Cricetulus griseus: one gene and its partner. The protein of the gene in region 1 interacts with the protein of each later gene in a pairwise test. Links are inferred from orthologs where the notes say so. Each region holds a gene or a part of one and is shown in the gene's direction. Other genes may lie near its edges.

The links.
Region 2: the proteins of Zfyve19 (region 1) and Vps4b interact in binary tests that used the Homo sapiens proteins (3 or more experiments, as listed by UniProt). The two-hybrid records come from large-scale screens. The link is inferred for Cricetulus griseus from reciprocal best matches to the Homo sapiens genes ZFYVE19 and VPS4B.

Annotation. Positions count from the first base shown.
Region 1 is NC_048599.1:59,268,055-59,280,129, reverse strand, and holds the end of Zfyve19 (abscission/NoCut checkpoint regulator), read left to right. Parts: 5' UTR 1-12; coding exon 13-66; intron 67-1,462; coding exon 1,463-1,584; intron 1,585-1,750; coding exon 1,751-1,801; intron 1,802-2,133; coding exon 2,134-2,252; intron 2,253-2,344; coding exon 2,345-2,490; intron 2,491-2,855; coding exon 2,856-2,964; intron 2,965-4,739; coding exon 4,740-4,949; intron 4,950-5,323; coding exon 5,324-5,400; intron 5,401-5,672; coding exon 5,673-5,771; intron 5,772-5,871; coding exon 5,872-5,999; intron 6,000-6,086; coding exon 6,087-6,165; 3' UTR 6,166-6,743; downstream 6,744-12,075. Other genes in the region: Ppp1r14d (protein phosphatase 1 regulatory subunit 14D), read right to left, coding at 8,075-8,140, 8,333-8,365, 8,567-8,647. UniProt on the Homo sapiens protein: Key regulator of abscission step in cytokinesis: part of the cytokinesis checkpoint, a process required to delay abscission to prevent both premature resolution of intercellular chromosome bridges and accumulation of DNA damage.
Region 2 is NC_048598.1:77,793,576-77,806,921, reverse strand, and holds part of Vps4b (vacuolar protein sorting-associated protein 4B), read left to right. Parts: intron 1-3,082; coding exon 3,083-3,194; intron 3,195-5,367; coding exon 5,368-5,524; intron 5,525-7,669; coding exon 7,670-7,737; intron 7,738-13,346.

The DNA of each region.
Region 1 (12,075 bases):
CTGAGAGACGCCATGGAGAGCAGGTGCTACGGCTGTGCAGTCAAGTTCACCCTCTTCAAGAAGGAGGCGAGTGTTCTAGAGAGCTGGAGGGCCAAGGAAGGACGCGGGGCGAAGGGAAGAGCTCGGGACTTGCAGGCCAAAGACCCAGTTTGACTGCTTCTTTCTAGTGGTGTAGTTTTGACGAAGTAACTCAGTTAACATTTCTGTAAAGAGGGGCGTATGCCCATTCGCTTTCGGGGTTAAAACTATGGTATGATGAGGTCCAGTGAGATGGCTTTGCGGGTAAATGCACTTACTGCTAAGCCTGATGACCTCAGTTGGAACCCCAGGAAGGAGAGAACTACCTCAAGTTATTCTCTGATCTCCACACACGTGCCATAGCATGCACATATCTACACACACACACACACACACACACACACACACACACACACACACAAAGAAATATTGTAAAATTGAAATAATTGTAAGGGGGGTTGGTAAGGTGTGGACCTGAAAGTACCCTATAAATTATAAAGCTTATTGCTGTCAGTTTCCAAAAGCTACGCCTTTTTCTTCTTTTTTACCAACAAGTGGAGCATCTACCTCCTGCTTCTCTCTGCTCTTCTCTTCTCCATCTCTGTCTTTACTATCCTAGGGCCGCTGCGCATCACACCATGCCCGTTACTCTCAGGTTGTATTACGAAGCTTCCACTTTCCCCTGGGCACAATGGAAAAGCTTTCTTGTTCATGACACAGGCTTACCAGGTTCTCCTTGCAAGCTTCCGGGGAGATAGAGGGGAATAAATGGGATGAGTTCATGGTGTGCAGGACGGAGCACCTCAGAGCATGCATTTGGAGTCAGGGTTCAAATCCCAGCTGTCCTGATTTACACAGTTAAGACCTAAGTTTAACAAGTCAGGTAACTCTCTGCCCCCTGTTAGAATAGAGATACTGATGTGGGCATCAGGATCAAATATGACACTGTGTGTAAATTATGAGGTTGGATCAGATGATGAATTTTAAGGTTCAAGCTGTGTGCCTGGTACACACTAAGCACTTAATAACTGAAGCTATTGTTAATGCCCTTATCCTGAGCCCAACCTCCCACCATCTTGCCCGAGCAGAGAAAGCACAGTATCTACACTCTGTCTGATTCTCTTTTGTTGACTAGCCAGTGACCTGACTCACAGAGCTTTGTTTGTCTTTGTTCTTCACCCCCATGGTAAGAAACTAAAAATGGCAGAAAGCATGTGAGTTTTGCCTGAAATTTTATCTGATCGGAACAAGACTCTGGAAACCAAGGGCTTGTTGTGCCCTCTACTCCATCTCTCCCTGGACCCTGGGGATCCCACTCCTCTTCCTTCCTCCAACATCTGGTCACAACTTTAATTTCTTCTTTCTGTGAGTGCTTAGAGAGTCCCAGAGAAGAGCCAACAGGGGTGGGTGAGAAACGGATCCTCCTGCTTCGTGTTTCTTATAGTATGGCTGTAAGAACTGTGGCCGGGCCTTCTGTAGCGGCTGTCTTAGCTTCAACGCTCTGGTACCTCGGGCTGGCAACACTCAACAGAAAGTCTGCAAGCAGTGCCACACAGTCCTGACCAGGTGAGAGATGGGCATGGGCAAGGGTTCAGACAGATGTGACACTAAGCATCTGACCAGGCCCTGTGGCCTTGTGCTCCCTGGCCAGAGGTCTGCCTAGGAAGTATTTGGTGTAGAAATCACTGCTGGGTGGCATGATGGGACTTCTCACACCAAATTCCTTCTCTAGAGGGCCTCCCGACAATACCTCCAAGTGGTCGCCACCTCAGAACTACAAGAAGTAAGTACTGAAAAAAAGACAAGTGGGGATGGCAAAGGACAAGGACACCAGTAGCAGGGCTCTCCTTCCAATCTGCAGACCACATGGGTGCAGACCTTTGGGCTCCTGCTTCCCTCTTGGATTCTGAAAGCAGCTCATTAATCTGTTCTCAGAAAAGGCATCTGGGAGCTCTTTCCCTGTTAGACATACCCTACAGCTGGTCAGCTGGGTTGGGCTGCAGTACCACATAAATAGAGGTCACAGAAGACTGCCTGTAGAGGCCCCAATTGATTTGGATGGGTGCCTTCAGTCTTCCCCTTTGCCTTAAGAGTGTCTGCCTCATATCCTCCTAGGCGTGTGGCAGCCTTGGAAGCCAAGAAAAAGCCCAGCATTTCCCAGAGCCAGGGCTTGACCCAACAAGACCAAGCCATCGCTGATCGCCTAGCACGGCTCCGTCAGGAAAACAAGCCCAGTGAGTTTAAGTGTACAGGGGGACCTCAAAGGCAGGGTGCAGGGCTTGGGACTGAGCTGCCTCCAGCCCTTACAAACACTTGCCAATTGCAGAGTCAGTACCCTCACAAGCAGAGATAGAGGCACGGCTAGCTGCCCTGAAGGATGAAGTCCAGGGCGCCATCCCTTCCACACGAGAAATGGAGGATCGGCTTGCAGCATTACAGGGCAGAGTACCACCTTCTCACACCGTGAGACCGGTGAGTGTTGTGGCTTGGGAGAGAAGGGTTTCCTAGGGCAAGCTCCCTACAGAAGCCCAGATACATGTATGATCATGTGCTTTGCAGGAGTTAGTAAAGCCTCTCACCCCTACCTCCTGAGCCTTAGGCCTGCTCTCAAGCCAAAGACCAGTGCCAAGCAGCAGGACTGAGTGCGTCAGCAAAGAGTGGATACTCAGTCCTGTTGGGAGCTGCCAACCTACTCACCTATGTGGACCTTGAATTCATCCCTTTCCATGGGCTTTGAAAACTCTTCAGCATCCACCCCTGACTCAGACCTCTTCTGGACTTCTGGTGTGGCCTTCCCCATCCCGATATTCCCCACTGAGGTTCCCTCCTCTGCACAGGCACACCAGGCACCAGATACCAGGACCCAGGCTCAGCAGACTCAGGATCTGCTAACACAGCTGGCAGCTGAGGTGGCTATCGATGAAAGCTGGGAACGAAGAGCCCCAGGTAACCAGTCCACTTGGCTTCTCCATAGTCATGCCCTGCCTCTTCTGCCTGCCCTCTGAGGAGGCGAATATGAGTCACAGGATGGTCAACACTAAAGAGCTTCTGAGTACCGAGTGCTTACTTCAAATGGAGCCAGTGTAGGCCTCTTGCACTGGCTCTAGAATCAGATGGGGAATTCCAGTCCCACCACCCTCCATGTGTTCCTTGACCTGTCTAAATCTCTAATCTGTAAACTCAAGCAATGTGTGGTAAAACCTGTGTTGTGGGAGAAGTCATGAGGAATAAATGGAATAACACAGTAAGGGCTTGGGACTGCCCGGCTCATAATAAGGACTTAGCAAGGATTGTCTGCAGTGAAGACACTGATAATGGGTAAGAGGTTTAAATTAGAAGAGTTAAGATTCAGTTGCCTTCTGCTGCCAGCCACATTTCAACCACTGGCTCTCCACGTGAGCTTGCAGCAAACATCATGGACAGCATGAGTCTAGGACATGCTATGGCATGTTCCCAACATCACAGGAGGTTCTTGGACAGTGGTGTATGAAGGCTCCATAGCAGAATTCCAACTAGGGATGACTTCTACCTTTAGGGCACTTTTGGGAGTGTTTAGGGACATTTTTGTTATCACAGTTGACAGGTACTGCTGGCACCTGGTAGGTGAAAGACAGGAATGCTGCTGGGACCCAATGTGCAGTTGCTAGCCCCCCACCCCCTAAAAGAGAATTGTCAAAAGAACTAAGAGTGATAAACTGCTGTATAGACTCAGTCTCAGTGGGTACCTCACTGGTCTGATGGAGGACTGTAACCCTTATGTATAACTGAGGAAACAGGCTTGGTAAGCTCAGGGGCTTGGCCACAGGCACAGCCCTTAATTGGCAGGGATGAGCCTTCTACATAACACTATTTTTGTTTTTGTTTTATTTTGTGAGACAGGGTCCCATGTAGCTGGCCTCAAACTTGCCATGACCATGAACTCCTGATCTTCCTACTTGCACCTCCCAGCTGAGGTCATTACAGGAGTGAACTGGTTTTAAAGCCCCTGTTCTGAAACTCTAGACTCAAGGTGACCATGTCAGAGCCAAATCCACTCTGATAAAATTTCTTCTTGCCCTTTATCTAAGACTGCTGCTTCCTTCAGGATCTCTCACTCTGCTCTCAGAAAATACTAATTCCAGCCCTGAAAGACAGCCCAGTTAAACCTTAGCTTCCCATATCCTGATCCCTTAGGGCAGTGATTCTCAAGCCATAGGATAACCACCCTATATTAACTAGGTGGATAGAGGCTGATGCATTTGAAAAAGACACAACTAAAATTACTAGTATTGCCAGGCATGATGGTACATACCTGTAATCATAAGAATTGTGAGGCAGAGGCAAGAAGATCAAGAGTTCCAGGCCAGCCTGGACTTTATAGCAAACCCCCATCTTTAATAATAATTAAAAAAAACTCAAAGCAGCCAGGTGTTGGTGGCACACGCCTTTAATCTCAGCACTCTGGAGGCAGAGGCAGGCGGATCTTTGTGAGTTCAAGGCCAGCCTGGTCTCCAGAGTGAGTGCCAGGGTAGGCTCCGAAGCTACACAGAGAAACCCTGTCTCGAAGAAAAAAAAAAAAGCAACAAAAAGCCCCAAATTATTTTATATTTGTAAAAATGGAAGAAATATAATATAAGCCTAGTACTGATCAAAAGTTGATAACATATGGTTAAAAAATAGCTGAGAAATGGGTTCACTGGCTTCTGGAATTTTTCTGCCTTCCTAACTATTACCCCTTCCAGTGGCCCCCCTCCAGAATGACCTCAACAAGGGAGGTACAAGGAACCAGCACACAAATTCCCAGGGGCAGGCCAGCCCATCCCTGGAGAAGGAGAAGAGCAGGCTGCTGGCCGAGGCAGCCATTGAGCTACGAGAGGAGAACACCAGGCAGGAACGGATCCTGGCTCTCGCCAAAAGATTGGCTATACTTCAGGGACAGGACCCCAACAGAGGTAAAGGCCGAAGATAGCTTCCTTATTCAGACCCCCTGTCCAAGGTCTACTGCTACCTCAGACTACACTTTCCCTGCCAGTGCTAAAATGGTTACTAAGGGTCCCTGTGCCAAAGGATCTGTCCCATCCAGAGCCATGAGCTATGATGGACAGAGTAAAGAATGAGGACTCTGAGACAGTGGGACCTTCAGACTGCCCTCCACTCTCAGGGCTGATGGCCCAGCCTCGCAGGACTAGGGGAGGGAGGCATAGCAGCTTGGTTCTCAGCTCTGAATAGGTGCCCCCAGGAACCAACAGTTCTAGAAGACAAGAGGGCAGCCATCTGGTGAAATAGCTCACCTCACTCCTTTCTTTGTTCCTGTACCCCATTCAAGTGACCCTCCAGGACTATCACCTACCAGACAGTGATGAGGAGGATGAAGAGACAGCCATCCAGAGAGTGCTGCAGCAGGTAGCTTTGTTACCCACCTGTCACCTCTGCCTCTGCCTCTGCCTCTGCCTCATTGTTGTCTGTTCTCATTCACTGGCCTTTAGGGCCACATGAGTGGTCATTCCACAGCTTCAATTTTAGTTGAGGTCCATATTTCCTATCTCAAGAAACCAGGAAGAAACAGCAGGAGGTAAAGGTTGAAGAGCTGAGAAGTTAGGCCACAAAACCCAGAAATGCTGGGAGGGGAGCCTGGACCGAGAGCAGGAAGTAGTTCTCTTCTTCCCTGTTCACAGCTCACCGAAGAAGCTGCCCTGGATGAGGCAAGTGGCTTTAACATCCCTGTGGAACCAGCTCCCCGACCCCGGGCCCAATCCTGCAGGGCAGAAACTAAGGTGAGAAAAGCCCGGCACATGTATCCCCACACTTGCCACAGCCTTGCTCTGGCTCTCTGCACCATCTGTACTTGCCTTCCCTATTCCTGTCTTCCTGAAGACCCAGTCTCTGCTTCCTGGGCCCCAGGCTGCGGAAGAAGAGCTCCCCTGGTGCTGTATCTGCAATGAGGATGCTGTCCTGCGCTGTGCTGGCTGCGATGGAGACCTCTACTGTGCCCGGTGCTTCCGGTGGGTGCAAGTAGAACATTCTGAGGCTAGATTGGTCTTGACTTGAGGGCTGCCAAGATCTCTGCCATTCACCCCTTTGCTCCCCAGGGAGGGCCACGATAACTTTGATCTTAAAGAGCATCAGACTTCTGCCTACCGCCCCCGACCACCTGGCCGAGAACACTGAGGAAAACCCTGATGCCCTCCTGAGGTGGCAGAGCCACAGGCAGCCAGCAGGCTGGGACAGCTCCCCCGGGCCCGGTGTCAGGGCATCCAGTGGGATAGCCGATCCTGCTCTACTGATGGTAAACACACTCTTGTGAGCTTTGCAGTCAGTGTAAAGAAGAAAGAGTCCATTGAAGGTCATGACTCTTAGAGGAGCCAGAGGGAAGGAGGAGTAAGGGCCCCCTCTAGGAGGCTGGACTAAAACTGAGAGGCAGATAGGGAAGATCAGACTGAACCTAAGGATGAGCCCTGAAACCCGTTTCCAGGGCCCAGCCCTGGCCTATAGTGGAGCTAATAAAAGATGCTGTTGATAAATTATTCTAATTTAAAATGTAAAATGTTATGATATCATATGAGAATAGGTCTGAAGGAGTAATTAAAATGACTTTGAAATTTGGGTCTTTTACAAGCTGATGATTGTTGCATTTTGGAGTTGCAACAACATTAAAACAATTTCAATGGTAAAAAAATAAAATTAAATAAATAAATAAATAAACAAAATGTAAAATAAATAAAATAAAATATGTTATAGAGTCATTAGCCCAAGAATTTTTTTCTCTGTACTGGGGGTTTGAACCCAGGGCCTTGCACATGCTGAACAAGGACTCTACCACTGAGCTATATCCCTAGCTCCAGACCCTTTTTATCTGTGAGCTTGTTTCTGGCAGTACTGGGAATTGAACCCACATTTCATACATGCTACATGTGTGCTTTAACACTGACCTACACCTCCAGGTTCCCAACACCATCTATATTCAGAATCCTGTGGCCTCTGAGCCTGAGGCCTGTGAGAGGCGCTAAGAACACAGTAGGCTAAAAGCAGTCTGCTGTGGAGTTCATGGAAAGATTGTGCTATATCGTGAGCTCCCAGTAAGAACAGTCCCACCATCCTGGTGGCCTCACACCAAGTATGAATATTCATCTTAGTGAGTTGTACCTTCTACTCAGGACAGCTTAGCTTACTCATAAGACCCTTCCATGTTGGATATCTGCCTATCTCTGGGGAGACAGTTCAGCAGTACTTCAACAATGAATGTAGGAACACTCCATACATGACCTGCTTCCTGCCTCACTGAGGACCTACCTCCTGGCTCCTGTCCCATCTTGCCTACTTTAAAGACCTAATATCCATCTTCCAACAACTTGACCCAACCCCTGGTACTCACTCTCACTCTACATATCCTCTGCTTTTTTCATTTTCCACAGTTCACTAAGGGCAGAGACTGGTATGGGCAACCAATCCAAGATTAGAGTAGCATGTAGAGACCCCTGCCACACTGAGTGGAGCAGGGATAAACCTCCTTGAAAGCTCCAGATCCAGTGAGGGGTTTCCTATTACCTCCTTGGTGAAATTCAAAGCTTATCTTTACCAGTTGGGCCCCTCTTGTTGGTGATGCCCTGGTGCTGTGTGCTTCAGCCATATGGCTTCTGGGCCTCACTATTCCAATCTCTTCAAAGCCAGGCTATGATCTCCATCTTTGAATTCCCAACACCGGTTGGCATAGGGGTGGGGATGAGGGTAGTGGATGGATGGATGGATAGATGATGTGGGCACAACCATAGGACTTAGGATATTGGTCTTCCAAATACCACTCCCTCTCTCCCATCCCCCAGCATAGATACACACCACACTCCACACACTTGGTTCTTTGTTTCCTCCTAAAGTTTTTATCCTGGCTGCCAAGGGAAATATTAGGCAGCAGCCACAACTGCCTTGCAGAGAACCCAGCAGAGAGAGCCCAGCTGTAGCTGTACACACACTTGGGCTGTACAAGTGTCTCTCCTTGTCTTCTGCATCCCTTGTCTATATTGAAGACCTTTCAGCCAGTATCCAGGACAGGGCTAAGCTACAGAAGATGGTCTCTCCAGTGTTATTTTGAAGGCCTGCTGAGTCTTCGAAGTTTCTTGAGTTGACTGAGCAGCTCAGAGATGAAAGGCTGAGGGAGAAAGAGCAGTGAATCAAACGGGAAATCACAGTCACTATGCTATCCTCCCTAATCTGTCTTCGAATGTCCCCAGAGCAAGAGAAGAAACGAATGTAGGGCCAAGCTTTCCTTTCAAATGTTCTCTATTCATCCTAGCCTCCCCCATTAGGCTTTCTCCCACTGCAGACACATAATATGCCTTACCTCTCTGTCACAAGGGCAGTCTTGGAGAATGGCCTGGATGAAAGAGAGCCAGGTAAACAGATGTACAACTTCCCCACAAGCGCCCATCAGTCTTCCCCAAGATCCCTCCCCCATAACTTGTTCTTTGCAGCTGGTAGTTAGCTCAGGTGGTTAGTGTGGTGCTGTGAGTTGGTGTTCTTCATGACACCCAGGGAAGCAGACCCTAGGTTCCCAGTCCCCAGCTTCCCATTCTACCTCCAACTGAGTCCTCTGATCCTCTGTCGATAGTTCCATGAGAGCTTCCAGATCAATCTCGGGCTCAGGAGCTTCTTGACCCTAGTTGAGAGTAACAGAGATATCTGACCACCTGGTGCCAGAATGGCAATTACTGTCAAAGGACTCGTCCACCTCTGCCTTCATCTGCTCATTTCCATATTGATCCCCCACCTCCGATTACTCAGAATGCCCATTGATTATTCTCTCCAGCAAGCATTTACTAATTTCTATGTTCTACACAAAAGTGTGAAGAGTTAAGCGTCTTCGCCCATACCTGTACTGTCAGTACTTAGGCAGAGGGAATTGGATCATGAGTTCCAGAGCAACCCAGACTTCAGAGTGAGACCTTGTCTCAGAAAGGAGGGGGAATGCTCTGGGGAGACAGTTCAGCAGATAAGAGCACTAGCTGTACTTCCAAAGAACCTGAATTAGATTCCCAGCACCCTCCCAGAGGCTCACAACTGTCCACAACTCCAGTTCTAGGGTTCCCTGCACCTTTTCCTGCACTCCCTTGAATAGCAGGCATGCATTTGGAGAACAGATATACATGCAGGCAAAACACCTATACACATAAAATAAGATACTTGCTGTGTGTGTTGGTGAACACCTTTAATTCTAGCATTAGGGAGGCAAAGGCAAGTGGATCTCTGTGAGTTTGAGTCCTGCTGGTCTGGTCTACACAGTGGGTTCTAGGACATCTAGGACAGTCAGAGCTATGTAGAGAGGCCAGTCTCAAAAAAAAAAAAAAAAGTGCCAAGTGGAAGTGGCACAGGCCGTTAATCCCAGCAACCGGGAGGCAGAGTCAGGTGGATCTCTGTGAGTTTGATGCCAGCCTGGTCTACAGAGGGAGTTCCAGAACAGCCAGAACTATATAGAGAAACCCTGTCTCTAAAAAACAAAACAAAACAAACAAGAAAAAAAACTCCCCAAAAATAAATAAAATAAGAAGATGGGAGCTGGGCGTGGTGGTACATGCCTGTAATCCCAGCATCTGGGGGGTAGAGGCAGAGGATCTTGAACTCTTGTTCAAGAAAATCCCTGGCTATATGGCCACTTCAGTGCCCGTCTAGGCTACATAAGACCCTATCTAAAGGGCAGGGGGAGAGCCAGAAACATAGCTAAAAGCACTGGCTGCTCTTGCAAAGGATTCAGATTTGCTTTTCAGGAGTTGCACAGTGGAAGCAGAGAACCAACTCCTACAAATTGTCTTATGACCTCTATATGTACACCTCGGATGTGTGGATACACACAGCTTAATAAATGTTACTTGAAAATTAAAACAGGCCTGGGGAATGGCAATGAGTGCTTATAATCCCAGCACTGGGAAGGTAGAGACAGGTAGATCTGTGAGGCTTGCTGCTAGCCAGCCTAGCCTCCATGTGAGTTTCAAGCCAATGAAAGACCCTCTCTTTTGGGGAGGAAAAATGCCCAGAGTGGTGGCTCAGGCCTTTAATTCCAGTGCTCAGGAGGCAGAAGTAAGAAGATCCCTGAGAGATCAAGGCCAGCCTGGTCTACACAGCTAGTTCCAGACAAACTACAGTTGTATAGTGAGAACTTGTCTCAAAAAACCACAAAAGGAGTCCTTCAAGATAGTCCAAAATGATCCCTAATTTGCTGTCCTTCCACCTCAGCCTCCTGAGTACTGGAATTATAGGTGTATGCCACCATACCTAGCTAGGTATTTTATAATCATCCTTTTAAAAAAAATGTGTGTGCGCTCAAGAGTGCGTTCACGCAGGAACACATGAAGTGGGGTCAGAAGCCAGCTAGTAGACTTGGTTCTCTCCTTCTGTCATGGGTTCCAGGGATCAAGCTCTGGTAGCCGGTCTTGGACAGCAAGGACCTTTACCACTGAACCCTTCACCAGCCCCTATCTGTACTTTCCTTTAGTGGTTTTAAAGTTTCTATTTTTCCATTTGACTATTTGGAATATACCATTCTTCAGGCATGTGTTTAGTAGCTGCTGTGAACTTGGCACTATGAACTTGGGAACCTCAGTGAACTAAGATCTTGTCTTCACACAGCCTCCGTATTATTGGCAGTTAATGAGTCATAGCATAAACAGATAAGCTGTCAGACCAAATGGCACACCAGTGTAATCTTAGCACTTACAAAGCCGAGATGGCGCTGCTATCAGTACAAGGTCAGCCTGAGTTATATGTAGAGTATAAGACCCACCACGGCTGCGTAGCAAGACCACGTCTCAAAACAAAAAGAAAAGCCTGGCAGTGGTGGTACACGCCTTTAACCCCAGCACTTGGGAAGCAGAGGCAGGTGGGTCTCTGTGAGTGAGTTCCAGAACAGCCTCCAAAGCTGAAGAGAAACTCTATCTCAAACCACCACCCCCAACAACAACAACAACAAAAGGAAAACTGGTAACAACAGCAGCAACAAAGCCAGATACAATAGCAATAGCAAATAAATTACATAATTTGTCTAAAGGTAAATGTCATTTAGGAAATTACTTGGGTGATGGAAATATTTCTTACCTTGGTGGTATGACATTTTATAAAGGGAAAAATACACCTTTTTTTTTTCCCCAACAGGATTTCTTTGTGTAACAGCCTAACTGTCCTGGAACTAGCTCTGTAGACCTGGCTGGCCTCGAACTAACAGAGGTCCACCTGCCTCTGCCTCTCAAGAACTGGCATTAAAGGTGTGCACCACCACCATCGGGTCCCTCTGCACACACTGCAAAAGGGCACATTTTAGTCTATGTCAGTTTATATTCAATTAAGTTGACTTTGTAAATTACAAATAAAACAGATCAAATGTTGTAGCAAAAAGGAAAAAAAAAAACCCTCATCCACCTTCCTACTCCTCTCACTAACAGGTAACACTGTTAACACTTGGGGACTTCTGCACTTTTTAAAAACCAGTATTGCTTCAGTTTTCCCCTTTCCCTAGGCTCTAGGACCCCCTACTTTCCCATCTATAACTCATCTCATTTGGCACTCAGCCTGTTTATTAAAGGCATGCTTTGAATCAAAGATGACGGTGAGTTTTAGGGCCATAACAGCAAGACAGACAGACAACATGATCCTGCCCTTGAAAAGCCAACAGATAAGTGAAAGAGCAGTTGCAATAGATGGTGACAGACAGATGCCTTGATGAGAGACCATAGCAGTACCTGGGAAGAAAAGATCACCAAGCCAGGGGTCAGGAAGATTCCTGGAAGAAGCGGCCTCTGCAATCTGGAGTGTAAAAGTTAACCAGATAGTGGGTAGTTCAGCCTGTAGAGTGCTTGCCTAGCATGCACAAGCCCTGATCTAGTCCCCAGGACCAGCATAAACCCAGCACACTTGTAATCCCAGCACCTGGGAGGTAGAGACAGGAGGTCATCCTTGGCCGCTAAGCCTGAAATGAGACCATGTCTCCAAATCCTTGTGCTCATGGTCAGGGGGAAGTGACAGGACTAGATGATCTCAGAATGTAGCTAACTAGGAAATTGCACAAAATGTACAAACAAGTCAGATGTCATGGCACAC
Region 2 (13,346 bases), on another chromosome or scaffold:
GGCTGTGGTGTGCTGAAGACACACAGTTAATTGGTGTTTATGTTAGTTTTGAATCCAGGTCTGTGTGCTTACATGTTTGAGGTTTTCTTTCACTGCAGAATTCTGGGTCCTTAAAGGAGAATGGTGAAGGCCTTCTGCAGAGAAAAATGCAGAAATTGAAAGAACAAACAAACAAAAAAACTTGTAGCGAGATGGAGAAAACTCCAAGTAAAAGAATGTGACTTAAACCTCAAAAAAAAAAAAAAAAAACAAAGAAAAGAAAAAGAAAAAACACTCAGATGACCCAGTCCTAAATATTTGTTGTCCATATAAAACTATATTAAGATTTTTGGAATTGGTGTCTGTGTGTGACTTCCGGTATATACACATGTCTGTGTTCACACAAATCTAATGGTTTATATAAAAGCAGAAAGCAACCAATAGAACAGAATATAATCATTAGAAACATGTACAGGTGATCATAGGAATCCAGAAAGTATATACTAGACTGGTTGGTTCTGGAGAGTGTGTTGGACCAGGAGGGCCATACTGGCACTGAAGCCTTAAGAAGCTGGAATTTTACAGGGAGACAATAGCATAGGTCTTCTTTGTATGTCAGTTATGTGTGTAGCTTTAGTTGGTTTAGGTTGTACCAGCAGTTTGATGACGGGAACTCAGAGCCTAAGGAAGGAGCATGAATGGAAACAGGTTGTCACAGGAGTTTGTGTGCTGTGTCCCATGGTGGGTCCTCATTCAACTGTACATGGAAAGCAACAGAAAGGCCTTGGACAGTTGAGTGGCATTTTCACACTTTCCTTTCAGAATCAAACTTTCATCTTCACACAGTAACAAATATAACTGGTAGCCAGTATGAACGAAAGGAGGCCATTTACAAGACAGAGGTCTGTGTGGTAGAAGGTGGTGACTGGCCAAATTAGGGTGGTTACTGCTTTAAATGCACAAGTAAAGCTGGTGCAGAGAAAATTTTAAGAAAGAAAATAGTTCAGTCTGTGCCTTCAGTTACAAAGTGAGAGAGGGGGAGTTGGAGTCTGGAGTTTGTAAAGAGTTCAAGGTTGTCTATCTGAATGGATATAAACTGGTTCTGAATATACAAGACAAGCATGCATGGAGAGAAGAAAAAGAAGTTGAGTTCCTTATTTTCATATGTCTGCAAATATTTTACATTACAATTTATTTTATGTGTATTGGTACTTTGCCTGCATTATGTCTGTGCTCCATGTGTGTTATTAATGCCCATGGAGGCTAGAAGAGGGCATTGGACCTCTTGAAAATGAAGTTACAGCTGATTGTGAGCTACCATGGAGATGTTGGGAAGAGCAGTGAGTGTTTTTAACCCCTGAGACATTTTTCTAGCCCCTAAATTAAAAAGTGTAGTCAGTTTTGAGACAACATGAAGTTTTAAAAAGTGAGAAGAGATTTTCAGTGTACCCTTCCCCTAGTTGCATGTTGTAAAACCAGTACAGTATCACATCAGGATATTGATGTTGACACATTCTGTAACTCTTACTCATTCCACAGATTGACTTGTACTTTTGTGTGTTTGTGTGTCTATCACCACAGGTTTATGTCCAAAACTAAACACATAACCAGCGCATAAACAGGCATTGCACTTCAGAGCAGTTCCAGAGGGACCCTGTATACTTGCTTCTCTTAAGTCTACACTGAACCTCCATTTTCTCTTTCACTCACATTCCAATTCCCTGGCAGAATTCATCACTTCCCATCTCTGATGTTGACATTTTGAGAACAGTATATAAATGGAGCCATTAATACTCAACGATTAGCATTGGCTTTTTTCAATCAACATAATAGCCTCAAGATTCATCCACATCTTATATAGCAATAGTCCATCCCTTTTTACTGCTGCCTAGTGTTTGATGGTATTTATATAGCTGTTTAGTAGTGATACCATTGAAGGCTGCCTGGAAAATTCATTAATGTACAGGCTTTTGTGTGAATACAGCTTGTAGGACTAATTGGTTCTCTTCTACTGTGTGGGTTTCTCAATCAAGCTGGGTAGCAAGACCCTTTATTTGCTGAGCCATCTCACTAGCCCATTAATGGATTCTTTTTAAACTGTTATGTCTTCAGGATCCCTTTATGCAATCTAGTAGATATTTCTCTTTTGTCTGATGCTTCACAGTATTTCTCCCAGTCTGTACTGTCTTTTCATCATTAGAATCTTTTAGAAAACAGATATTTTTAAATTGATATTTTCCATGTTAACATCTTTTCATTGTATACACTGTGCTTTTGATGTTAAATGTAAGAACTTTTTTGTTTGTTTTTTTTTTTGTTTTTTCTATAGGTTTAAGTCTGCTCATTTTGAGTTAGTTTTTGCTAGACACATACACATGGGATTTAAGTTAAGATTCCTTTTTTTTTTTTTTTTTTTTGGTACCCTCATGGATGCCCATTTGGTACAATACCATTTTAAAAGCCTCGGTTCTACATCACTTTAACACCTTGGCTATGTTTGTATGGCTCTATTTAATCTCTGTAATAGTTCCTGTCACAAAGATGTGAAAATGAATCTTTGTCAGATCATCAAAAAGTGTTCTTCAGATTCTTTTCATGCTACTAAGATTTTTTAATATGATTTTAATGACCTTTTAATATTCTCATTGCTCCATGGGTTCAGTTGGGTTTTTTTGTTGTTATTTTTGTTTGTTTGTTTGTTTGTTTTTATCTCTGTGTATTATGTTTATGCTTCAAGCAAAGCAGCACTAGGGTTTTTCCAAATTCTTTAAATTTCTGTGTATGGGTGTTCTGTATATGCATGTGTATCTGTGGGCTGTATGTGCCTGGTGCCCATGGAGGCCAAAAGAGTATGTCAGATCCCCTGAACTGGAGTCACAGACATTTGTGATCTGACATGTGGATGCTGAGAATTTTACCCTGGTTGCCCAGAAGACTAGCCAGGTGCCCTTAATCCCAGAGCCATGTCTCCTCTTCAGCAGTATTTAAATTTTGAGAATTTCCCTAACCTCCCTCACTGTGTGTTTTGGAGGGAATATTATTTGCTTCAAACTTAAGATTTATGCTTTCATACTAAGTTTATTATTTTGCCTCCCTCAAACAGAAAGCAATAGATCTTGCAAGCAAAGCATCCCAGGAAGACAAAGCTGGGAACTATGAGGAAGCCCTTCAACTCTACCAACATGCTGTTCAGTATTTTCTCCATGTCGTTAAGTGTAAGGCATGTTTATTTTACTTAAACTTGTGCACTAAAAGGGAAAAAATTATTACAAGAATTCTAAAGCTCTAAACCACCCATTAGAAAAAGTCCCCGTTCTCCTAACTTTTAAGTACTGCTAACAGATGTGACAGCTGTTGTAGATGTTACTTCACAAACCCAGTATCTTTTTATGTATTCAATGGAGAAAACCTTGTTTTATAGATAAGCTATCCAGATTATATGATTTGAACTTAATCCTCTCCTAAACATCTGTTGGAAATGATTTTGTCGTGAGAATAGGTTGGGCGATATTAAATGTATTTTACAAATGCATACTTGATGTTTATCATGTGCTAGGCTCTATTCTGGGAACTGGAGATTCAACACTAAGAAACAAGTGCATGAAAACCTGCAAGATCCATCACCAATCTTACACTCAGTGCATTGGGTTATTTTAATTTGAGCTTTCCCATTTAAGTGGAAGGGAAAAACTGTGAATGAAATATAACACGTAAGACACATGAGAATAAGCCTATGCATTGCCTGTATTGTTCAATTCTACATTTCAGAATAGCCATGATAGAGGCTTTTAATATAGTAATAAGGCTACTGTGTTGTTGGTCTATATAATGTGTGTGATTTCTGTCACTTTGTATACTGTGAAATAAAGCAGACAAAAGATGTTAATGGAGTTACTACTGATTTACTTCTGATTATCTTTTATATCTTAAAACTTTTATTCACTTGTATTTATTTTATCTATCAACATATGCCTGCAGTGTACAGAGAGCAAATCCAGCTGCCATTTTTCTAACTGCTGCTTTCCCAGCCTTTAGTAGTCACTATTCTACATTCAGAGTTGTGTGTTGTCTCTTATGGTTGTTTTTTTGTTGTGTGTTTTTGGTTGTTTAGTTTTGTTTTCCTTCCTTCCTTCCTTCCTTCCTTCCTTCCTTCCTTCCTTCCTTCCTCCTTTCCTTCCTTCCTTCCTTTCATCCTTCCTTCCTTCCTTTCTTTTTGGTTTTTCAAGACAGGGTTTCTCTGTGTAGCTTTGGAGCCTATCCTGGCACTCACTCTGGAGACCAGACTGGCCTCTGCCTCCCAAGTGCTGGGATTAAAGGCGTGTGCCACCAACGCCCAGCTTTTTTTGCTGTTCGAGACAGGGTTTCTCTGTAGCTTTGGAGCTTGCTCTGCAACTCACTCTGTAGACCAGGCTGGCCTTGAACTCACAGAGTTCCAGGTGTGTGCCACCACACCCAGCTTGTGGTTGGTTTTATGTAAGACAGCTTTCAGCTATCTACAAACTGTTAAAGGGAAGAATTTGAAACCTATAGACTGTTAAATACTTTGTGATTATATAACATTAACTTAAAATATCTACCATTTTACTCTGAAGTTTTTTTGTTGTTGTTTTGTTTTTAAATTCACACCCACTTTTGGCTTCCATCCTGTAACAGAGCGAGAGAGAAGGAACAGAAAAGGTGTGATAATCACTGGACACAATGAATTAGCAATGCTTTCTCCTTCTCCTGTGTCATAGAAATTCCTAGTTAAAAGAATAGCTCTAAGTTTGAACTTTTCTCTGTTGAATACTATATTAGTTGCTTTTCTGGTGTTGTGATAGAATACTGTGGCAGAAAACAAGTTAGGAAAGAAAAGCCTCATTGTGGTTTACATACAGTTCCAGAGGGGATCCAGCCTGTCATTGCAGGGAAGGCATGGCAGCAGGAGTGTGAGGCTAGTCTGGGAGTCAGGGAGCTAATTGATCACAGAACACCAACACTTAGGAAACTAGAGAATGGGAAATAGAGTCCAATCATAAAACCTCAGAATCTGGCCGGGTACTGGTGGCGCATGCCTTTAATCCCAGCACTCAGAAGGCAGTGGCAGGGGGATCTCTGTGAGTTTGAGGTCACCCTGGTCTCCAGAGTGAGTTTCAGGACAGCCTCCAAAGCAATAGAGAGAAACCCAGTCTCGAAAAACAAAAACAAACAAAAAACCCCAAAAAACTCAGAGTTCACTCCCAGTGACATAGTTTCTCCAGCAAGGCTCTACCTCCTAACTGTTCCTTAACCTTCCTAGATAGCATCACCCACTGGGGTCCAAGTGTTTGGATACACGAGCCTGTGGGGATATTTCATATTCAGACCACAACAAATGCTAATGAAATAGTGTCTCGTTCCCTTCTACAGATGAAGCACAAGGTGATAAAGCCAAGCAAAGTATCAGGGCCAAGTGTACAGAATACCTTGATAGAGCAGAAAAACTGAAGGAGTATTTGAAGAAAAAGGAGAAGAAGCCACAGAAGCCCGTGAAAGAGGAACAGTCCAGTGCAGTTGATGAGAAGGGGTATGTATTTTAAAGTGTTCAATTTTACATTTTGTAACCTCTTATTTGGTTATAGGTTTCTTTTGTCTAAGCCAGATATTTTCCAACTATGAGTCATGGGCCAGAGTGAGCTTGTTGCCCATTTTAGTCATTAAGTTTTATTGAGACAGTTTATTTACTGTCATCTCAGGCAGCTGAGTTGAGTGGTTACAATAGAAACCACAAAACCCAGAAATATTTACCATCAAGTCTTTCAAAGATCAAAGTTTACTAGTCTGTGCTTATTGCATGTTTATACCTCCCTGACTTTTCAGGTAACTGGGAAAACACCATGGGCATGGCACTAACAAAACCGTGACATTCAGTTGGAGTGACCTGTGAATTAAATCTGACCCTATGGACAAAATGAAAATGAACTCCAATAATGTCAATTTTTATTTTATGCAAAGGGTTTTTTAAATGTGGATTTGCATTATGCCATTGTGAAGAAAGCAACAGCACAGTTTTTGAACAGTGAGCTCCAGTTTTTAAATATCTTCCTAGGTGCACCTAGGTATCACAAATGTAAAGAGCATTTACTATACATTTAGTGCATGCATTCCCAGCTCTGCTAAGCAGGGAGGACATGCGGTAGCTAGATTTGTCCTTGAGTCTATGAATGGGTGCCAGCATGGCTCTGATGACACATTAGGAAAATGAGATTCTGGGTTGATGTGGCCTGCCTGGGTTGGAAGCACTGAGGATTTGGTGAGATCTGGAACCTATGATGCTCTCAGTTTATGTTCTGCAGGCAACAGGTTTCTTGGATGATGCCCAAGGTCATGAGGGAATGAGGGATGGAGCCCTATAGTCAGTGCTCCCCGCCCATGTTTGTTCATGTTGAAATTTTGCTTCTTTAGGAATTGCCAAAGTTAAGGACAGGAGAAGTATAAAATTTAGATTTGACTGCCTTAACTCTGTGTGGCAGAGTTTGAAGAGAATTATAAGCCCCGAGTTTTATATTCTCTGTTAAGATATGGTTAGGAAACAGAGTTTCTGTGACTTGCCAAGAGTATTTTATATTCTGTACATGAAATGCACATACTCATCATGAACATACGGGGCTTCCACATATCACAGACTTCTGTCAGCAGGAATATTTGGTCTTCCTGTCTGCTGGGACATGTGGTGTGTTAGTGAGGACCCTGTAATGACCTGCTCTGCCATGGCTGCCTGTTAAGGGAGAGCCAGTCTTCTCTACTAAATAACAGTCTTGGTTACAAGCAGCAGGACTGGACTTACTTACTGATTTTTATAGGGATTACTTTACAGAATTTTGAGAATCAACCTTGAGTTCCCATCATTAGGAAAACTACCCAGGATACCATATGGGGACATAGAGTGAATTCATACCTGTGGAATTTTATATTCAAGTAGAGATCCTGCTGCCACCACCACCACCACCACCCCTCACCAGATATTCCCACACTTGCTCAGCCATCCTCCTTATATAGCCCAAGCTCACCTGCCCACAATGGATTGGGCCCTCCTACATCAATCAGCAATCAAGATAGTGCCACACATATTCCACAGTCCAGTGTGATGAAGGCAATTCCTCAGTGAGATTTCCTTCTCCCAAGTAGTCTAGCTTTGTATCAAGTTGACAAAAGGTAATCAACATAAGTAGGCTGGCCATTTTTCTTGTATGTTCAGAAGATTTTCACTAGGAAGCTTTTTCTATTTTTTGGAACCTCAGGCAAAGGGTTATGTTGTAGATAATTGTGTATTGTACATTTTCTTCCTAGCATCAAGTCTTGTTGAGTTATGTTTGACCTGGTCCTGATGTTTTTGTAGTTTCTTACAACTTTCCTGTACTCTATTTTAAGTCCCTCATTGAATAGTATGGGGCATACAACCTGTGGATACATAAATGCACAAGTATATCATGAGGATGGAGGTGTATCTGACTTCATCCTGGTCTTGTTCATTTCCAGTGCATAGTTCCCTATTGATTATTTGCCTGCTTCCTGTTTTATATTCTTAAAAGCATCATTTGGAACACTTAAATAAAAATAATTTTTAATGTCAACGTCTTTTACTTAAACATTTTAGGTTATCTTTCTTTCACTTTTGCATTGTTTATTAGCAGTGAGTGATCTTTTGCATATATTAAATTCTCTTCATTAGGAATGACAGTGATGGGGAAGCAGAATCTGATGATCCTGAAAAAAAGAAACTACAGAATCAACTTCAAGGTTACTCTGGATTTCATTGTTAAATTTACTCTTATTGAAAAGACTCATGGATTGTTTCCTTGAACTGTTTTGTTTCCCTCTATTTCATTGAGTTTCAAAAAATGGCTTTGGTTGCTGGTGGGTAGCATACTGGCTTGGTTCCAGACCAGGATTTACTCTCAAGTCTTTTTAATATTTTATTGTTTTCAATGAAGTTAAAAAAAAAATGGTTTGTTTTCCTATCTGCCTTTAATGAGCTGCCAACAGTCGCTCTTTTTCATTTATTTGCCCCTTGTAAAATAGGTAGCATTGACACTTACTAACACACTACAAGGCCCAAGGAACTGAATGGATTAGGAATTACACTGATTCTACTGCCATTGCTGCATTTGATCTGTGCTTCCTTTTCTCTCTGTTCTTCTCCCCCACTTTCCAGTGTTCACAGATATGCTTAGTGCATTATATATCCTTTTCTCTTTTTATCTGCTACACATGTCAAGGCTCTTTGATTCTGCTGTCCTAAAATATAGTGGCATAATGGAGTAGCCATAAACACAGATTTGGATTCCACTCTGAGGTCTGCCACTCAAAAGCTTTCAAATTATGGGCAAGTTCTCCAACCTCTCAGAATCTGAGTCCCCATCTTGAAAATAGACATTTCTTTCAGGGAAAGGAAAGCAAGATAATGCAAAAAGATCTTAATAAATTCTAAAGGTCTGATAAATGGTAGCTCAGAGTATCTAAAAAGCTATCTACTTAATTGTTGGTTTCTTTAATTGCTGAGATGTGATTGTTCTTTTGTATGTTAGCTAATGGCTTTTCAAATAAAAGGCTTAGTCATTGGTAGTACGTATTTGCACCTTAGAGTCTTAGCTAACAGCATATTTAACAAAAGGATTCCCATGTTGTAGGCTCCGTTTGGTTACTGGATAGTGAATTTGTGTGGGTGTGGGTGTAGTCTTAGACCTCTAACCTTGATGTACTACTTCTTTCATTTTAGTAATATTTCTCTCTTACCCACCCCACTGGGATGTGTGAGAGAATACTATAAACTATATGTTGAAAACTATAATTAACTATGCTAGAGAGCAGAGGGTTTTGGTTTTAGTTTTTTTTTTTTTTTTTTTTATCTATGTGTATGTATCTGTCTATGTGAGTGGATGCCCACAAAGACCAGAAGAGGGTTTCAGATCTCCTTGGAGCTCGTAGTGTCAACAGCTGTAAACTTGTTGATATGGGTTCTGGGATCCAAATTGGATTTCTCTGGAACAACAGTGTGCTCTCTTTAACCACTGAGCCACTTCGCCAGCCCCTGAAAATAGGGTTATTTTTGTTGTTGTTGGTTTGTTTTTTCTTTATATCCCAAGAACTTTTGTAGCATTTGTAGCAGACAGATACAGTTCCTGGGAACTTTGAGTTTACCCTGGTGCACTGCACTGCCTGAAGTAAGAGGACGCTCACTGTACAAACTGTCAATTTTGATCTACACTAAGTAGACCTTTTGAGTTGTAAGGCAAGAAACTGTTTCCTGTCTGTTTACCTTGCTGGTTTAGTTTGGTTTCTCCCTACCCATTCCCTTACCCCAAGTGAAAAGTAGACCATATAATATAGTCAATTTTGAAAATTAGAGTTTTTAACAGAGATATTTGTAAATTCCTATCAGTTGTAAATCCTAAAACAACAGTTAGATGTAGAAGCCTTTGTAATCTCAGAATGAAATAGAATGTGAATGGACCTTTAGCCTTTCCTGTGAGGATTTTTGTTTGTTTGTGGTTTTTTGTTGTTGTTGCTTGAAGACAGTGTCTCACATAGCCCACACTGGCCTTAAATTTTATGTGGCTAAGGACCTTGAATTTGTGATCTTTCTGTCTCCACCTCCCAAGTTCTGGGATTAGAAGTATGTGCCACCATGCCTGGCTTTTGTCCTTTGTTTTTTGTTTGTTTTGTTTTTTTCTTTTTTGTTTTGTTTTTTAATGTAATGATTGTTATTGGATTAGTATCTTTGTTTGTTAGTACTGGGAAGATAGCTCAGTCAGTAAAATGATTGCCACACAACCAGGGTTGATGCCTAAGAACTCACATACTAAAGACAGACATGGTAGCATACATCCATAATCCTAGTGCTGGGAGGTGAAGCTAGGTAGATGCCTCAGGTATGCTGGCCTGCCAGCCCAGCCTGCCAGTTATGCCTTGGGCCAGGGAGCTGTCTCATAAAGTAGGTGATGGCTCCTGAGGAATGAACTTGAGGTTGTCCTCTGGCCTCTACACAAGACACACAGACTGCACATCTACACATGCAGACACACACATTCTATAATTTTTAAAATTTTTTATTCCTGAAATAATATTTTAACATTTTACTTGTGTTTTGGACTATGGTATTTAATATATGACTGTTGCGATTAAAATGGATTATGGTATGAATTTTCTGTTAGCTAATTTTGTTAGCTAATTTAGGGACTTGTAGGATTAAATGCCTGTTTGAGTTTAATTTTTTGTATTTATTTATTGTGTGTTCCTGTTGTGTGTGTGGTGTGTGCATGTGTACCACAACACTTGTATGGAAGTCAGAGGATAGCTTTCAGGAATTAGTTTTGTACTTCCATCATGTAGTTCTGGGGATCAAACTTGGATCCACAAGCTTGGCAGCAAATGCCTTTATCTACTGAGCCATCTTACCAGCCCCTAAATAATATTTAAATATAATATACGGTGTAATGAAAAAAAACGGTACATTTATATTCTTGGAAGTAGAGTCAATTTATATTTTTCAGTAATCTTACCTTGCCCTTTTAGTTTTATAAACCATTAAGTTTTGTCTGGCACTTAATCTTTCACAACTAAATATTGCAAAGTCACCTCTAAACTTTAATAAAAATATTAAACATGGGAATAAGCTGAGCACTCCTGTAGCACTTGAGAGGCCAAGGCAGGCAGAACTCTGTGAGTTTTATGGCCAGCCAGATAGTTCCAAACAGCCAGAACTACATAGTGAGACCATGTCTCTAAAAATAGAGGGGGAGAATATATTATGCATACTTGGTCAAGGAGGTGTATATGCATATGTACATGCGTGTTCATGTGTGTTAGTACTCTTGACATGTTGGGAAGAGTATGTGTGTGTATGTAGGAGCAAGTGATTGTTGTGTTTGTGAGCATTCTCTACCTTGTGTATTGAGGCGGAGTTTTGCACTTGAACCCAGAGCTCACCATTCAGTGTAGTCTAGTTAGCCAGCTTGTTCCAGAGACCCTCTGTATCTCCACATGCTGGGATCACATGCAATCGCACATCCACCTGGCATTTACATGGTGCTGGGAATCCTAGCTCCAGTTCTCAACACTTGTTCGGCAAGCTCTTTACCAGCTGAACTGTTTCTTCAGCTTCTTGTGGTATTAGATTACATGAAAATCTTGAGTTAGCCAGATGATGCACATGGATAAAAAGGATTCACTTTCATTTAATAATGAAGCCCTATCATGTGGTGTAGATACTTTTTTTTTTTACCATGAGGTTACTGATCTTAATGGAACATAAACAATGCACATTGACTTTTGTGTATCAAACTGAACTTTTAGATTGCAAAATATGGTTTTAATTAGTTTTAGCTTAGTGACTAAAGATTTTTATACTTTAGGAAAGTTAAGTTACCAAATATAGGCTTAGAATCATAGGTGATAATTCCTAACAACAATAAATTAGGTTTAAAAGTAATATCATGATCGGTGATTGATGTACATGGAGTTGTCTGTGTTCTTAAACAACTACCTATCATCTTTTTGTGTATGTTCATGTGTGTGAATGTGTATGGAGGCCAGAGATTGACTTCAGGCATCTTCCTAGGCATCACTCTACCTTAGTTTTTGCAACAAGCTCTATTACTGAACTTGGAGCTTATCTGTTGGTAGACGGTGAGCTCCAGGGATCCTCCTGTCTCTGTAATCCCAGAGCTGGGGTTATAGACATGCCACCACAGTTTTGAAGTGGGTGCTGGAGAGTCATCTGAACTCAGAGCCTCATGCTTATATGGCATGACTTTGCTGACTGAGCCATTCTCCAGTGTAGAGCGGCTACTTCTCATCTTATTGGGCTGTTTAGTCATTTATAATAAAGCGGTTCCTGTGTACTAGAAAATTGGAAAAGCTTTTGATGAAAATAGTTAAAGTTTCTTCTACTAATTGCAGGACTCTTCTCTTGGACTCTTACTATAACAGTTACTATAGTTTTTGAGAAACTAAATCATCCCTTTAAGTAACTTGTTCTAATTAAAAAGAAAAAAAAAGTTCTATTTAAAAGCCAGATAGAGAGTTTGGCAAATCTCAAGGAAGAATTGCATATCTTTAAGCACACACTGTCTTTTCCATTATCTGTTCCTCTCTCATTTCCATTCCTTCTGTCTTTCCTCATCTTGTCTCCTGTCTTTGGCTGAAGTGTATTCTCTCTGCTATTCTCGACAGAGAGTGTTAACTAGAGAAATAGTAAGCCAGCCCCACTGAAGAAGTACAGTACATGACTCTGTACTCACTGTGTCACCTGATCCTTGTGCTACCCCAAGTAGTTTGACCAGATAGTAATATTTTCATTTCACTAATGAGGGAGCAGAAATGTAGGCATTGAGTCCTGTCCACAGCTGCTCAGCCAACCACCTAAATTCTTGCTTCCTAGTGATTTCTAACAACTTCATTACACTACTTCAAAGAAAGTCTTAGTACCAAAAATGTTTACAGTTTTACATTGTTTTTATTTATTTTCTTATTTTTTTATACTAATCCCAGTTCCCCCTCCCTCGCTGCCTCCCGCTTACCCCCCCCCCAGCTTTCCCCCTTCTACTCCTCAGAGAGGGTGAGGCCTCCCATGATGAGTCAGCAAAGTCTGTCATCACATCACATTGAGGCAGGACCAAGACCCTCCCCCCTATATCTAGGCTGAGCAAGACATCCCTCCATAGGGAATGGGCTCTAAAAAGCCAGTTTATGCACTAGGGATAAATCCTGGTCCCACTGCCTGTGGTCCCATAAACTGCCCAAGACACAACTGTCATCCACATTCAGAGGGCCTAGTTCTGTCCTATGCAGGTTCCCCACCTGTCATTTTGGAGTCAGTGAGTTCCCACTTGGTCAGCTGTTTCTGTGGGTTTCCCCATCATGGTCTTGACCTCTTTGCTTATATTATCGCTCCTTCCTGTCTTCAGCTGGACTGTAGGAGCTCTGCCCAGTGCTTAACTGTGGATCTCTGTATCTGCTTCTATCAGTTACTGGATGAAGGTTCTATGATGACAATTAAGGAAGTTATCCATCTGATTCCAGGGGAAGGACAGTTCAACCACCCTCTCCACTAGTTCGTAGGTTCTTAGTTGTGGATTCCTGGGAATTTCCCTAGTGCCAGGTTTCTAGCTAACCCCATAATGGTTCCCTCTATCAAGATATCTCTTTCCTTGTTCTCCCTTTCTGTCTTTACCCCAACTCAATCATCCTGCTCACTCCTGTTCTCCGACTCCTCTCCTCCCCGCTTTCCCCTTCCCCTCCCCTTCCATCCTCTCCCTCTTCCCTCCCCTTCTATCCTACCCCCTACCCCCCATGCTCCTGATTTATTCAGGAGATTTTGTCTATTTCCCCTTTGCAGGGGGATCCAT